Linked DNA regions of Kluyveromyces lactis. Each later gene encodes a partner of the first gene's protein in a complex. Links are inferred from orthologs where the notes say so. Each region holds a gene or a part of one and is shown on either strand. Other genes may lie near its edges.

Evidence for each region.
Region 2: IES5 (region 1) and IES1 share a complex: the UniProt entries of both Saccharomyces cerevisiae proteins name them as parts of the chromatin-remodeling INO80 complex. The link is inferred for Kluyveromyces lactis from reciprocal best matches to the Saccharomyces cerevisiae genes IES5 and IES1.

What each region holds. Positions count from the first base shown.
Region 1 is NC_006041.1:1,787,979-1,790,472, forward strand, and holds IES5 (Ies5p), read left to right. Parts: upstream 1-1,356; coding exon 1,357-1,710; downstream 1,711-2,494. Other genes in the region: MET6 (5-methyltetrahydropteroyltriglutamate-homocysteine S-methyltransferase), read right to left, coding at 1-334; KLLA0_E20087g (uncharacterized protein), read right to left, coding at 718-1,092; TORC2 complex subunit TSC11, read right to left, coding at 1,730-2,494.
Region 2 is NC_006040.1:651,523-655,676, forward strand, and holds IES1 (Ies1p), read left to right. Parts: upstream 1-1,267; coding exon 1,268-3,337; downstream 3,338-4,154. Other genes in the region: KLLA0_D07568g (FAD-dependent oxidoreductase), read left to right, coding at 1-216; KLLA0_D07579g (uncharacterized protein), read left to right, coding at 396-689; KLLA0_D07612g (uncharacterized protein), read right to left, coding at 3,387-4,154. UniProt on the Saccharomyces cerevisiae protein: Probably involved in transcription regulation via its interaction with the INO80 complex, a chromatin-remodeling complex.

The DNA.
Region 1 (2,494 bases):
CAGCAGCAGTGGTTTCGGTAGCCTTTCTTTGCAAACCTCTAGCCATAGCAAAGTAAGTGTCCAATGGAGACAATTCATACTTAGAGTAACGTTGTGGGATAACGTTGAACAATAGAGAAAGATCCAAGACTTGATCGTAGAAAGAGAAATCGTTGGAAGCAATGACATTGACACCAGCATCCTTTTGCAACTTCCAGTTAGAGGCCTTGATGTCCTTAGCAACTTGTTGTAATTGTTCAGCAGAGACCTTACCGTTCCAGTACCCTTCGGTAGCCTTCTTCAATTCTCTGTTTGGCCCAATTCTTGGGAACCCTAAGACGTATGATTGAACCATTTTGTTATTGACAAACTAATGTATGATTAGTGATTGGTTTGTTTGGCTTAAGATATTAAACTCAAACTGAATGATAAAGGAAATAAATCTGTATTTAAACAAAGTACACATAATTCCTTTTATTATTGTAATGATGAACAATTGTCACTCCTCAAATTACATCAAGAGTCGACTGCTTATATACATTTTTTTTCAGATCCTCTTTGGACTGAAGTTTCTGATCCAACAAACATCGTTTAAACGATGAGTCTTAATTACCTTCGGCTGCTCTAGTCGTTCCCACGAAAAAATCTGCTCAACTACAAAACTGCCACTATTACTACTGCTGCTACTACTACTTACTTTTGACTTGAGCTCATCGGAACGTAACAGAACAAAACTTTTCACCACAATTCACCAAAGGATTCTTTCTGCAGAGATGGGGCTCTCTCAGATACCATAGAAAAGCACATGTCGTCAAAATAACACTTCCCACGAATCGCACAGCATTTCACATGTGGTTTGCCTAATGGTTTCCACATGGTTTCCTGCACGGTGTTTTGACGTAAATAGTGTGGTATAAGACCGACGTAGGTTGGGCAAATGGTAACTGTCACGTGCTGTGCCGTAGTCATGGCTAACCGGTCACGGGGAATGGTTCGGACTGCAATGTGGCTCAATTTGGTCTGTAAGGGTGTGGTTGGGGCGGTGGTTGTGCTTGTTGTGGCGTTTTTATGCACTTTTCCAAAGCAATTTTGATCCTTTTTTTTCCACACCATCCTCCTCCTTTCTTTCACATGGTGACGATGACTTCGTGATACTTACCCGGATTGATTGAAAGAGCTCCAAACTGAACAGCATTTCCAAGTCACATGTATTTTCACGTGACCTACAGAAGTAGTAGACTGTCTCTCTCGATTGGAACTCTCTTTCAGCAGAAATTTAAGCCAGCAATTATCACTCTTCTTCTTAACTTCGAACAACTATTTACGAGGTGAGACGATTTTCTCCAGTTTCAGTGCTATTACCACCAAACATCCAATATGCCGACTTTGGAAGTAGAGCACAAGAAGCTTCTTAATAGAAGAGAAGAATTGCTGAAACAAGACGTTTCTCTTAGGAAAGATTACAGTATCTTGCTTCGCAAGATTACAAGTGTCTGCCAGGTATTAGAATCATTAGGTGAGCCTATTCACATCAATTTAAATGGATACCCCATCTTCCAACAGCCAGATTATCAGAAGTTTAAAGATTGGGATGCTCTGGTACCACTTTTGAAGAGTTTAGAAGAAGTGAACTCGTTGCCCTTGGATGAAATCGAGATCCCAGAAGCTTTACAAGAATCTTATGAATTATTTAAGATGACTCCATTACTATATAAGGATGGTTCTGAATGAAAGTTTGGCTTGTCCTGAATTATCTTTTTCTTCTCCTCTCGTTCCGTATCATGTTCTCAACGGCTCGTGTGTTGATGAACAGTTCCAACAAAAATTTTCGAACTGAGGGTTTGAATCGGTACTCTCCCAATAATTCATAAACTTGTTCAAACATTTCTGGGCTTTGGAATCTACTAGGCCCATACTTGGACTGGAGAGCAGTTATCTCTTTGATCGCACCATTCAGAAGGATATTGTTGCCCATATCGCTTACTATCCTTAGGATCCTATTGTTGATCTTGTCATCTTCAAACACATCTGGCAGTTTCGACTCATTTGTTTGGGATATCTCTCGGATCGCTCGTTCCAATTCTTGTTTGTCCTCTTCCTGCTGGTCGGGATTCACAGACGTCTCGGATCTTTCCCATTCCAATAAGTTGTCTAAAGGGATCTCATGGTCCCCAACTATAATGTTCGAATTCAGTTCATTGTTACATATAGACGCCGCGTTCTGATTGTGTTCATTCACTTCATCCCATTCAATCTGAATGTCTCCTGGTGGTATTTTGATAGGCCCAAGGTCAGACCAATGCAACAATGTATCGGCATTTTTTGGGACACATACACCAATTGGCATACCTCGAGTGTCCATTATTGATTCCCAGCCGACTTCTTCAAGCATTTCCCGCCCCTCCATGGTATATGAAACTAGTCCCAATACGTAAAATGCAGTGTTCTTAATACTTGTATATTGACTTTCGTTGGCCAATTCAACGATATCCTGCACAAATGAATACTTATCAAG
Region 2 (4,154 bases), on another chromosome or scaffold:
GAAAACTTCGAAATCAAGAACGTCAACGTTGGTTTCAGACCGCTAAGAGTAGGAGGTTCGCGTGTAGAACTCGAGTTCAATAAGAGTCCTGATGGAGAACAAATGCCAGTTATTCATGCTTATGGTCTTGGTGGGATGGGATTCGAGACCTCGATGGGTGTTGCCTACCACATTCAAAAATTGTACAACAACGTCTTCTCCACTTCAAAATTATGATGTGCGCTTGCATCGAAATTAAAGACTACCTACTGGACATTTCACATTAAAGTAAATAATTCTGTAAATAAAGACCACGCAGCATTTTAAGTTAACTTTATTTGAAAGTATCAATAACGATTACACTTCATTCGAATGAAGGGATTGTACAACGGAGGTTGTTACTAAGTAAAAAAAGTATGCATCTCAGTAACGAAGTGAGTGGTGCCGTCAGGACGTTTACGTATTTTATGGTAAGTGGAACTCATTATATGTTGAAGGGTGTAGATTACATTTCGTTATATGGTGAGGAACCCAGTGCAATTGAGCAAGCTTACGCCATATTCATGAATGTGTTGGAAATAGATGAACAAGGGAAAGTTATCAACGTCAAACATGCCGAGAAACGAGCAACAGACTACATTAGGTCTTACTGTGAATCGACCTTCGAGGTTGATCCACCTTTCGAAGATTGGGAAGTTCAGTTATATTGAAAAATGTACCTCCATTAGCAACTATTTTAGACCGGCGTTGGTTTTCTGGGAGCAATTGGCTGCTTATACACCAGAATAGTGTATGTTTAGAGGCTGCTACATAGTCAAAAGATAGTATTAGTATTCATACATGATATCAACCTTTATTCACACTGGATATAGGCAACCAATTATAAATCCGGGTAACTTGTAGTTTACGTTGACTATCAAAGAGAATCAACCAAAAGGTAATAACGTCCAGTAAACTTAAACAGTAAAACAGAAGTTTTCTGATATAAAGAAGGTGGAAAAGCCAGACTTAAAACATTAGAGAACGTATAAATTTGAAGAAATTCATTATTGGTTCCATATATAGTACCCCTAATTGGAGATCTAATTGGGTATCTGCGTTCTCTGTTTTTCTAATTAGGAGACAGACAACTTTTTATTGAATAACAGAGCGGAAAGCAATTGTTACTATCTTTTATGAACTGCTAGTACCAAATTACAAACTTATAACACCTAGAAATTTTCCAATTCAATTTAAGATTACCTTTTCTTACATTTGCATTATTGATCAGCTCTAAAAGATTTCAACAATGGCAAAGCGGGTGTATGATCCCATTCACGATACTTATCAGATACAAGTTACTCCAGAGCCGCCTGTGCTTTCACAGCCGCGACCAGATGGTAACGAAGAGGAAGACAGAGACTCGGATTCTACTCAGTCAGAACCTTCTCAATCAGCTGCAATTTCCATGCCAGATTCTTCTAATGACGAAAATAAATATTATGAGAAGGAATCAACGGTGTCCGCAGATTCTCCTAATTCAGCATTGCCATCTGATTCACAGCATTCCGTAATACCTCCTCCGCCACCAATGGAGCTGGTTCAATACCCAGGGAATGAGAGGAAATCCAAACATTCTCATGCTATGAACTTTATGACAACTACCCTGAGACCAAAACCTAAGGCAAAAGAACCAAGCCGATACACTCGCCATTTAAAGAAATCTGACGGTGAACCTTTCACTCGTAAGGACATTCAATATGAGTTCCTTTCGAACCTTCTATCTGACACAAGACAAATATTTAGTAATCCGTTCCAAGATTTCTTTCCCTTGGAATACACACCAGAGGAAGGTAAAGTGGTGAACGTCACGGATGTGGACTATAATGCAAGAACTTTCATCAAAACCGAAAAATTAACTTTTTCTCAGATATACATTTTAACTATCGCTTCTTCAAGTAAATGTTCCAAAGTATTACGGGATAAACTACTTTTTGATCATCATGTAGCGTTTTCTACGTGCATATTATCATTGTTGGTGAATATGGGAAGATTGAATACGACTGTAAATTTCTTTCTCGAAATGACTTCCCAGCTGCGTACCTTCCATTCAATTCCATGTCTACAGCACTATAGTTCAGATCCTAAATCATTACAAGATACTCCAAGGATTAAGTCGATCCTCAAAACTATCCCACTTGGGTCCGACACTCCAATAGAGTTTCATAAATGGTACGCAGCAGATTACCCCCGTAATCCTAGCGAATGGGTAAATCCAGTATCTTTGATATTTGCTTTTTGCGAACAACATGCCATACTAGATTGGAATATTATAATTCCTAATTGTAAGCCCAAGACCTCTCTTTACCAATTATTTGATGATAATAATTATTCTCCACAGCTACGAGTCAATCTTTTCTTGTGGTTGATGTATATCCATATGGAGACGAACCTCACACCGGAATCGTTACAGTCTTCGAAACCTCTCTTCCAAGTCGAACCAAACGGAACGTTCTTATTGACTGCGTCTCATTTAGAACATGATATTGACACTCCAGTAGAGGTAACATACGGAGAAGAGCAATTGGAAAAGAGAATAAGCTTTTTGAATCAAACAGGAGCAGAGAGGACGATTGTCCAACAGACGATGGAAACTCCTCCTACAGGCCCCGATGATGAACCGTTGGATCCAGAAGCAGCACTAGAAGAACCGGTACCGGCTCCTCCACCACCAAAGCCCAAGCAGTCACGAGCTACATCAAAGGAAAAAGGAGGGAAGTCACAACCGGTGATAATCCAACAAGATACACAGCGAAAGAAGAGACAGTCGAATGCAGCAGGTTCTAAAAATAATTCGGAAGAAAACAACAATAACTCTGAAAGTAAAGCTGCAATAAGGGCTAAGATTCAACAAGATAAAGATGAGCGAGTACAGCAAAAAATTGATCTTGATAAAAATTTTAAAATTAGAGATGATTTGACTCAGACTCAATTGAGAACTAAATTGATTGAAGCCCATAAAATCACCAACAAGAAAAACCATGAGTTAGGCTTAGTTAAGTTATTTGACGAATTCGAAGATGTTCCTCTTGCAACTATTATTGGTATCCGGGGGAAAAAGAGAAAGAAGTTCAGTGACGGCATTTTAGGATATGAGACAGACATGTTAGGAGTGCTACGCCATTCAAAAAGAACAATGCTCAAAAGGCTAAGAGAGAAACGCGGAGTGCCCAACCCTGAAGAAGAAAACAGCTCTGCTGTCCAAGAAGCAACGACTGAACCAAAAGTAATGGCTGAATCCACTGCAGAAACTCTGGCGGCAGATCCAACTGAAAAAGTGGAAAACGAAAGGAACGGAACTGCCTTCCATGACAGCTGAATAGTTCCAACTTCTGCGAACGATAGTAACACTAATAATGACATTGTAATTAAATAATTGTAGATCCATATTTAATGACTCCTAATTGAATTCCATACTGGTATATAAGGAAATCCAAAATTTTCTGTACTTTGTTGGTCAGTATCAACGTTTCTGGGTATGGCGATGGTAAATTCCAGTAACAGTGAAAAGAAACCTCTAAATCATTAAGAGTTATGGTATTGTTAGATGCCCTAATGAATTTACTTGCCTCGACGATCTTTGATATCATTTGCTCGTGAAGTTCCTTTATCCTAAGAAATTGTACGACAGCCATCATAGCAACATTCACGTTCTGAGTATCTTCGGCATATTGAATTATAGGCTGTAACTCAACTTCAAACGCATTCAAGTCAATAGCCATGGAACGAATACTCTCGTTTTCTACTGCTATTCTGAAAGAGGCGGTGAAACTACCTTTACGTAGCAGGATCATATCCTTTTCACATGTGACTGTAACATCATTTAGTGTAATATCCAGATATTTCTTTCTCTGTTCAATGTTTAAGCTCGGTAACACACGCGGTAGTGGATTATTGCTCGATTGTGATGAATCACTGACGGCATTGTCGTTTCTTCGTAGTAGTTTCAATAGAAGTTTATCATCTAACTGTACACTTCTGGGTTCCACGACTCTTGTTTGAGACAACTGATCCAAAAGCTCCGATCTTTGTCTCAATAGATTATTCTTGTGCTCTTGCAGTTTAATAAGCTTCAATTCTTCCGTTTCTATGACATCTGAATGCGAGGAAGGCTCATCTGAGTCATTACTCCCAGT